Solanum lycopersicum: one gene and its partners. The protein of the gene in region 3 binds, or shares a complex with, the protein of the main gene of each other region. Links are inferred from orthologs where the notes say so. Each region holds a gene or a part of one and is shown on either strand. Other genes may lie near its edges. The genes, in order: cleavage and polyadenylation specificity factor subunit 3-I, cleavage and polyadenylation specificity factor subunit 1 and cleavage and polyadenylation specificity factor subunit 2.

What was found.
Region 1: cleavage and polyadenylation specificity factor subunit 2 (region 3) and cleavage and polyadenylation specificity factor subunit 3-I share a complex: the UniProt entries of both Arabidopsis thaliana proteins name them as parts of the CPSF complex. The link is inferred for Solanum lycopersicum from reciprocal best matches to the Arabidopsis thaliana genes CPSF100 and CPSF73-I.
Region 2: cleavage and polyadenylation specificity factor subunit 2 (region 3) and cleavage and polyadenylation specificity factor subunit 1 share a complex: the UniProt entries of both Arabidopsis thaliana proteins name them as parts of the CPSF complex. The link is inferred for Solanum lycopersicum from reciprocal best matches to the Arabidopsis thaliana genes CPSF100 and CPSF160.

The regions. Positions count from the first base shown.
Region 1 is NC_090806.1:62,064,519-62,067,653, reverse strand, and holds part of cleavage and polyadenylation specificity factor subunit 3-I, read right to left. Parts: intron 2,888-3,135; coding exon 2,842-2,887; intron 2,760-2,841; coding exon 2,610-2,759; intron 1-2,609. UniProt on the Arabidopsis thaliana protein: Component of the cleavage and polyadenylation specificity factor (CPSF) complex that play a key role in pre-mRNA 3'-end formation, recognizing the AAUAAA signal sequence and interacting with poly(A) polymerase and other factors to bring about cleavage and poly(A) addition.
Region 2 is NC_090802.1:2,563,786-2,567,445, forward strand, and holds part of cleavage and polyadenylation specificity factor subunit 1, read right to left. Parts: intron 1,339-3,660; coding exon 1,193-1,338; intron 1-1,192. UniProt on the Arabidopsis thaliana protein: CPSF plays a key role in pre-mRNA 3'-end formation, recognizing the AAUAAA signal sequence and interacting with poly(A)polymerase and other factors to bring about cleavage and poly(A) addition.
Region 3 is NC_090802.1:3,726,700-3,729,617, forward strand, and holds the end of cleavage and polyadenylation specificity factor subunit 2, read right to left. Parts: intron 2,198-2,918; coding exon 2,066-2,197; intron 1,969-2,065; coding exon 1,924-1,968; intron 1,472-1,923; coding exon 1,304-1,471; intron 1,208-1,303; coding exon 1,133-1,207; intron 1,032-1,132; coding exon 930-1,031; 3' UTR 634-929; downstream 1-633. UniProt on the Arabidopsis thaliana protein: CPSF plays a key role in pre-mRNA 3'-end formation, recognizing the AAUAAA signal sequence and interacting with poly(A)polymerase and other factors to bring about cleavage and poly(A) addition. Required for antisense-RNA-mediated gene silencing.

The DNA of each region.
Region 1 (3,135 bases), on a different chromosome or scaffold from region 3:
AACAAATAGAAAGGTCTGCTATTTTTATCGTTCTGTAATCTTGTTAGAAGAAATCATTCTCCATAGCACTTCACTTCTACCTCAATATCTGAAAAGCATCTTTGACTATTAATAAAAGACAAAAGGAGTCAAATTGGCAAAGATACCATCATTCCACAAGGTTATTAATGGGAGGACATAGACAATATTACCATGACTAAAAAATTCAAATTTCCAAGAAAATAAACATCAGAGCTAATATGATGGAAGTATGAGAGTAATGACTTGGTAGTTTCTGTGATAAGGTCAAATGGGTAAGGAGTTCTAATACACCGATTCAAGAAATAGCTGCATGGTTATGACACAAACACCCTTTTCTAGTTTCTCCTCTCATAAATAAACTAAGAAGATCATGTAACTACATAAGCATACTCACAGAACCTAAGACAACAGTTCTTTTTTTTCCTTCCTTATTTGTGATAATCGAGAACTCCCTGAGGACATGAAGCAAGGTTTGGAACTAGGTGGGTAATGGGTCTGCCGCTCTATCCTTCTCCACTTAATATACTGGGCTTTTTTCTGCAGTAATGTTCGAAACCATGATGTGTGCCTAATTCACGTCACGTGCTATGCTCTTACCACTAGACCAAAGCCCCGGGTGCACCTAAGCCAATAGTTCTAATGAGCTCAACAACAACAAACTGGTCAATAACAATTCCAAAAGAATGAAAAAGGTTCAACTTCATTCTTTTTTGAGGATGGAAAAGAAGAATTTTGTTTAGCAGGAAATAGTAAGAAAAGAGTAGTTCAAGGCTAACGATGCAGGTGCATCACTGTGTATACTCTCTGACATTCATAAAACATGTATTTCTCCAAGGTTGCAGATGTTCCATGAGGTATACAAAAGCATATCCAAAGCCCGATCCATCCCTCTTGTTTCAGTAAGAATAATGTTTCTTATATCCAAATAGCATATTCAAAGCACGATCTAAGACTCCTTCAGCTAAATGAAAAGCACAGTCAAACTTCAATAGCTTCTCTAAAAGACCATTTAGTGTAAGCTACACATAACACTCATTCAGGACAGCAAACAAGGGAAAGCCAAAAATGTCCAATAGAATTAAATTTTCTGCAGCACAACCATATTATGGTCCAAGGAGATCAAATAATAGAGTCAGAATTCAAATATCCAGGTGAAGAAATAATATATTTGAGTTGCTTTCATATCCAGCTTGTAGGCAGTAGGCCAAGGAAACTCTTTTTAGGGTTCGTGCTCCCACCACACCACCAAATTAGTTTCACTATCACCCCACCGTCCCTTCCCTTCACTACACCCCCTCACTCTCCAGGCCACCACAATCTATTACTTTAGCAAATTAGTTCTAATCAGGAAAAGAAATACAAATCAAATTAAATTTTTATTGGTTCTATTTAGACTTAGAGCCCGTTTGGCTTAGCGGATTTTAAGTAGCTTTAGTACCAAAGTGTTGAAAAACACTTCTTTTAATGCTGCAGCTGAAATTTCAAATAACCAATTACATGTTTGGATAGAAGTGCTGCAGCTGAAAATACGGGTGTGTATGGTAAAAAAGGTGTAGATAAACACCTCTTCTGTTGAAAAGACCCGAATGCCCTAAATACTGCTAACACTAAATGAGCTTAACGGCTTAACCTAAATGAAAAGAAGTACACATAGGGAAGCTCTTTATAGAGAAGCCTGCTCTTTATAGAGAAGCCTGACCAATAAAATTAGTGATAATTACTGAGAGGTTCTAGTTATTAAACAGTCATTCTGAATATTTAATTGAACCATCAATATTGAGACATTCTTATCTGATGGATCAATCAAAATATCTAATCACGATCACCCTGCCAACAACTCATTGTCTGTCATATCACTATTTCAATAATGCTAAAATTTACAATCAAAATAGCAAATCTAACAATATGATAATCCACCCCTAGGCCCTATCTAATTTCAATCATAATCACCTTTGCCAACAACTCACTGTCTGTCAAAACACTAGTTCAACAATGCTACAATTTACTATCAATATAGAAAATCAAACAATATGATGATTCAACCCTAGAAATTCGATAGCATGTACTCTCATATATCATAATCTTAGACCAAGCAACCTCCAAAAGTCCTGATTACAAGTTTTTTTTTTGTTGTCGAAAGCCATATCCAATGTGCAAACATGAGGGGAATCTGCAAATATTATGAAAAATATGCAGAAAACCACATCTTTCTTATCTTCTATATTTCTCTAAACATTAATTGGGCAATATAAACACACCAACAATTATACCTTATTAAATATTAACCATTATTCAAGGGATAAAACCTTATGCAGGACTTGAAAAAATCCTATACAGAAAAGGGTTTTTTCTTCCAAAAAGCTTATAAATAGAAGGCTAGATATCCACAGTGTTATCCAAGACAGAAGAACTTCCAAGAGGTCTACATGTGGACCAGATGTACAACACAGACTAGTAATGGAGTGAAAATACGTTGTTCAGTGTAGAACCTGTTTTCAAACCAAGACCTCACAAGAGTATGAATCTATAATCCGAATGACTAATCATACAACTGCGTGAAGATTAAGCATGGGATGTTGAAAACAAACCTCAATTTTTTCCATGGAGTGAAGAATGTCATGTTCATCAAACAACATATCTTCAACAGAGACTTTGCTAACTTTAACATAATCTGACAAAAGCAACTTGTATATTGCCTTTGTGGCATGTGTCATGAAAACACGCCCCTTAAATGTAGTCTGAACATAAAAAGAACCCATATGAACCAGCAAATAAGTACTAAATGTACAGAATAAAAAGACCATGAACCCCTGAATAAACCTTTTCAAGAAAATAAGGAAGGGATGCAGCATGATCCAAGTGAAAACTGCAAAGCATTAGAACAAGTTAAAGTGAGTAGCCAAGTAAGATAAACAGGAACAGAAACCAATAAAATAAGAATAAAAAAGAAACAATCAATGAACGGTCAACAGTTATAACACGTGACAAGGGACTCGATGGCCACTGCAGAGACAACTAACGGGTGCACAAGTAAGTTGCTCAAAATCAGAACCACATAAAATAGATAATAAACTGAAACTTGATCCAGCCCACACCATTCAACCACTCCTTAGT
Region 2 (3,660 bases), about 1.2 Mb from region 3:
GTTTACATGGGATAAGGATGATAATTCCGCATAGGATTTGCGATTAACTTTACCTCATGATTGGTTTGAGCTATTAGCTAATCCCATATGGTAACCCCCCTTTTTTCTAAAATGATGGGATTGCTATCCCATATAGACGGTGGGATAAAATAATCACATGGGGTATCCTAGCTTATCCTATCCCGCATACAAACGACCCCTTTAAAGAGGTAAAGTACTTTTGCATTATTCTCGTCAAATTTTTTTATTGAAATTTCATGATATATATTTGAATCATCAGCCTTTTAGTACCCGCTGTCCACCAAATCAACTCTCTCGTGATAAGTTGGAATCACATTTTCATTACCGAGGCCATGCTTGAAACATCTTGTGCTCCACACTATAGAACCTTAAGCTCAAAATTACTGTTTAACAGACTTAACAAAAAAAAGCAAACAAATCAAAATAAAATAAATTCTTGGTTCTTTTGTTAAGTAATGTGGTTTGTACTGCAGGAAACAAAAGATGAGAAATATTTGCCCCACAGGAAATGACTAATCAGTGGCAACAACAAAGTTACTCCGGGTTTAGGTTGTTTTCTTTTGTTTTTTGACAAGGTAACAAGTTGTATTAACATTTGGGTGGAAAAAAAAAGCATGTATACCAAAGGTATTCCAAAATGTAGAAAACTACAAAACAAAATGGTTTTCTACAAACTTCACCAATCTTCTACACAAACTGGTACTCCACGGATGCACCAAAAAGAAATTAGGGATAAGAGACTACTGCTCAATTTTAGAAAGTCCATCTCTATACCTTCAAAAGCTCTTCTATTAGGTTGTTGATATGAGGAAAATATTTTGAGGGAAATAATTGTAATTTGACTGACAAAAAAGAAAACACAATAAAGAAGGAAGACAAACAAGACCAGAATTAGTATATGAGCTCATCAGCTAAAGGTTGTCATCAAGTGTAATTACAGTGATACCTCAATGAAACGGAAGGATAGAACTTCTTAACTTAAGCAGCATTCTTGACCTTATTTCCCTCACCAAACCAAACCCCAAAATAGAAAGAACTGTGATACAGTCATCATCAAGAAATAGCTCTTACTGGAGTGATCTCCTTTCTTTGTTGCCTCTTCTCTCTCTCTCCTTCAAGCTAATAAGAATATATATAAATAATGCTGGCAACAAAGATCATTGTAACTTACAGTGGCTGACCATATCAGTGGATGCTGCTTCAACGTTGTACTAATACTAAAGGCAGAGACCATACAAGTATGGTGTTTCCAAGAGACGCGCCCAGACCAAGTGAGTTCCCTTTCATGAAGGATAACCATTACAGGCTCAATATAACCTGCATAAAGGCACATGTCAAAGTTCAAACTGGCAACAGTGGTAACTGCAGATGGTGGATGTGAGACATATAGGAGAAGAATATTATTGAATTGTGCGTCTACATTATTACATTGAGACCCTATCTACATTAGACTCATTTTCTAACTAGGACACTACATTATAATCCTTTTCCAAGTAGGATTCTATATACTATTTCTATACCTGTTCCTATTCTAAGTAGGTTGTACTAAAAACCATAATTACAACTTCTCAATAAAACAGGATATCTGAATCTAAAATCTAAATAGAGCCAAGGATCTCAATAATTGACCCAGTGTCGTCTAGGTACATCTGTTTGCACCAGAAACAAGAAAGTTTGATACGGTTCAATTTGATCTTCTGAAGATCACAACTTTTGCTCTCAAAACATCTATTGTTTCTCTCTCTCCAGATTGTCCACCAGATACATGCTGGGACAGACATGATTTTCCTGTATGGGTGAGGGTTGTTAAGAGAGTACGAAAGAAGATGGCTAATAGGTGATTTCTCAGCAGGACAGGAATGGACATATCATCCGATCGAAGCTTGCTGAGAAAAAGGATTTTCAAGATTCAAAAAGTTCCATGGTAAAAACACATTAAGTTTTGTGGGAGGGTTACCAAATGGAAGAGCTTGAGTTGCATTTTTTTGAAACTTGTAACATGTGTGTGACCCTGTGTATATAAATACATACTAGATATGCACCATAAAAGTGCTTCTTACAATTACAAAAACCCAAGCTTGCTTAAGACTACCCTTTCAGAAGGAACTTATCATGACAACTATTGATTCAGTCTCCTCTACATAGTTTTTTTATGACTATGGTGTCCGCACCTCAACTAATTCAACAGGATATTTGTCATCTCCCACCAGGTACAAGGTAACTATGTCCACCAAGGCTAGAATATATCGGAAGAATCACCTACTGTTTTTTGTCTCCGCTGAGTTTTGAACCTCTCTACATAGTTTCTTTCCACCAAAAATGAAACAAAAAAAATACCATTCATCTTGACTCTCTGCACAGAACTGTTTTAGTCTTTCAAAATTCTATATCTCCTCTCCTTCCAAATTGTCCACCGTATACAAGTTGGGACAAGTTTCCACCACTTCTTTTGTCACACTGCACTACCATCATAGTTCCAGCACTTCAATATATCACAGCTTGTTGCTAGCATAGACCATCTTAGTCCTACCAAGTTCAAAAAAAGTTGCCACGATTGTCCATCTAGAGGAGTTAGGTCAATGTAGAAATGGACGACTATTATTTTCTCTGGCTTCACCACACATGCGACATCCAGAGTATAGATGAAATCCCCTTCTTGAAGTTTCCTGAGTGAGACATGCTTTTCTTGCTACAAGCCAAGAAAAACAGCAGACTTTGTAAGGGGCCTTGGTCTTCCAGATGAACTTCCATGGCGACGGGTCAAATGTGCATTTTCCCTATTCTGGTAGTTGTATGCAGATTTGACGTAGTAGATTCCATCACTTCCAGGTTTCCAAAATAGCCGAAAGTACCAGTTTTTCCAACAAGCAACTTGTCAACAGAGAAGATTTTTGAGTTTTGAAGACCATCCCATGGTTCAAAATGGCTGAATTTAAACAGAGTTTTATCCGACAATTGGTAGCTGCTGTCTAAGCTGTCAAAAAAATCTTTAAACATTCCTTTGAACTCAACAGATTTGTGACTTTGTCAGAAAGGGAGAGCACCGGAGCTTCATTCACTCAACTCATTTTCTTTCTTTTTTTTCTTTTCAGATCTTGACTTTTTTCCCTTTGCTAACCTGCTTTTGTATTATTGGTTGCTTCTGCCATAGCGAGTTGCATTCATGCATTTTATGTTGTCTAGAATAAGAAAATATGTGTTCAATCGGAACATTTTCAGTATTATTCAGGTATTAAATAGGTCGAGTCTTTAGTTGAGGTCTCTAACTGAAATATCCTGCCAAGTTTAGGGGCTGCCTATGCATTAGGCCAGTAAAATAATTAGATAGGAAATGATTAAGATTATGAAAGAAATAGAGGTCAATTCTGTTACCTTTTGTCAAGAAAAAAAAAATAGAAGTCAATTAATTTTTTCTCGTCAAATAGAGTTCAACAATATCAATTTCCATTGTGACAACAACAATAAAAAAAATATTGTAACCAAGATATCCCTGATGACCAGCTGGCACACAATCCAAAATTTGGAGGATATTGGGTCCACCCCTCTACCCTCTTCCACTTAAATACCATGTTTTTGGTTCACAGTAAGGTTGAGACTCTTGTGGCATGCACATCACAAGCTACACTCTTACAACTAGAC
Region 3 (2,918 bases):
GTCTAGTAATCTGGGCGAGTCCTTCTGGTGCGCACTTACGTAGATAGCACTTACTAAGGTATTGACACACTCGGTCTGGCCGTCTATTTGCGGATGAAAACTTCTGGAGAAGTGAAGCTCCGTACGAAGTATCTCAAATAGCTCCCTCCAAAAGTTTCCAGTCTTGATCCCTGATGATGATATTTCTTGATAGCCCCCAATACTTAACCACGTTCTTGAAGCAACCGACTATTGCAGGCATAAAAGTAGCACATTTCGAAAATATGTTCACCACAACCATTATTGTTCCATACCCGTCAGACTTAGGTAAGGAAGTGATATAGTCCATGGCCACACTCTCCCATTGGTGCTCTGCTACATGTAGTGGCTCAAGTAGCCCTCTGGATTGCCTCTACTCCACCTTGTCCTGCTAGCACACCAGATAGCACATGTCGTCCCACATGCACGATAATAGATTGCCTCAAGCAATGCCCTCGTATATCGTTGTCACAAATGCCCTGCTCACTACCGATTGGAGGGTCTATGGGCCCAAATTCAATCCTCTAATTAAAAAACCTGTTGCATGGGAATTGTTATCGAAAAATAAAAGAAACAGTAAAGTTCTCAACAAAATAATTCAACTAGGGATGCAAGTTTTGTATGGTCAAAATTTCTAAATTTAGTTGTGTTTTTCAATTCTAACCTCAACTCGGGGTACTTTAATTGCAAAAGAGTAATTCTAAATTTTCATCAACTTCCACTAGCATAAATACAACAGCCTACATAGCCTGCAGGAAATTCTAACAATTGTGACCTTTTCGAAACCAATGAGACAATAAGTTACAAATTACTAGAAAAACAGCCAGTCAAGATTCAAGAGAAGAGAAAAAAGAGACAAAAAGGAAAGCTGCATTTGTTACAAGTACAAAAAGTTACTCTGCTCTTCATATTTAGAGGGAGTAAAAATGTGAATATAGGTACTCTCGAATTTTATAGTACTCTTCCGATAATGGACCTTCAAGCACAATCTGCTGAATAGCTGCACCTCCAACCTACAAGAAATTTTCAAACAGAAGTTTAGTATGCCAAGAAAAAGGCTTCATTTTGCTAATAATATGAAGAACACTTGGATGATATTATCAAAAGCGGTCACCTTTTGACTAGCATCTCCAACTTTGCGAATGGTGACATACTCCCCACAACGTAAAGCCCCACCACCAAATTCTACCTGAAAATGAAAATAGCTGGTCTCAACATTTTGCTAACCTAAAGCCAAATCATGATTAGTAGTAGAAAATATAACATAAAAGAAAAGAGAAAAGACCTGAACGCCCTTGCTTGCAAGAAACTGCTTGAAATCAGACATTTTTAAATCTCCAACAAGAACTGTTTTATGGGGTGGAGAAGGTCCGGAAAGAGGAAGTAAAGAGAACATGTCGTTTTCCGTCTTCCCCACTTCAGCATCAACCCATGCTATTTCATAGTCTCCAAGCTACAATAGCAAATGTGAACACAATTAAGCAAGGACAAAGGGAAAACACAGACACAATAATGATCAAGATTAGTCTTTGTATGCAGCTTCCTGATCAAATGGAGCATAAAGTCTTACACACCGAAGACTTTAGTACAAACACTTGAAATGTCTAACCCATTGTAGTGTGTGGAGTGTACAGAGCCTCAACATTCAAGGACAAAAAGATAGCTACTGAACTGCAAATGTACAAAACATTTAACAAAGAGTACCTTGATAAAAACTCCATCAATCCATTTATACAACACATGAAGGGTGATTGACACAAGTGTGCTTAGGTAACTTTTTGTTTTAATTAGATGTGCATAAATTACTAACTTCAGCTGCTTCTATAAATGCATCAAGAGCCTAAAGTGGCAGAAATTTCGTAAAGGAATCATTTATTGATGTCATACATAATATATCCAGCTTACCTTCTTAAAAAGCACTTGGCTCATTAACTTCTCAGAAAGTTGGACCTATCATGGAAGCAAACATAGACCAAGGATGTTATACTAGTATTTTGTTTAAACAGGTATAAACCACAAAAGGCACATACAAAGAAAGTAGACTAACCTTATAAGCACACAAATCTGAAGTTACATCAATTGTTTCTTCCAACTGTGGAGCATAGACCTGTGGACAAACATGTTTCAGACAATGTTGCTTCAAATGTTCAGTGGCTTCAGCTGATCCATGCACCAATACCTATAAAACAGAATAGCTATTAAAACAAGTCAACTAGTTGAAGTTGAAAGAACTAATTGTTTCACTGTTGAAGAAGAAAAGTAGGACACGGATAGACTAACTGATAGGAAAACAGGCAGAAAGTTCAGGTAATGAATATTATATAGGTGTCAAAAGCAGAAAGATATAAACATTAGTATCCAAAAATGACCATCTATCTGCTATTTAAACTACTAATAAAAAAATACCAACTTCAATTAAGAAAAAAGTGAACCAGGAGAAGTTGTAGTCAACATGAACTAACTAATCCTTGTTATTAAAGGATACAAAGTCATTACTGTATTGAGCATTGTGAACACTGAACAACATACTAATCAGCTAATACTAGACCCTCTATCATTTTAGTTTTTTGATAACCGTGGTGCCCGGGCCAGATTTCGCGCACCTCAACTAACTCCACGGGATACTTACCACCTCCCATAGTACCACCAGGTAACTCCGTCCACCAGGCTAGGACAAATTGGAAGATTCACCTTATGTTTTTTTTCTTCGTTGAGTTTTGAACCTGAGACTTCAAGGTTCTCAACCATTTCATTGATCACTAGGTCACATCCTCTTATCATAATTCGATGCATCACTTCTTTTTTTTCAAATGGAGGACAGAATGGATTCAATTAGTCCCTTGCAGACGCTATTACCATTGCTTCCACAACTATAACCCTCATTTCCAGAATTTTTCAGA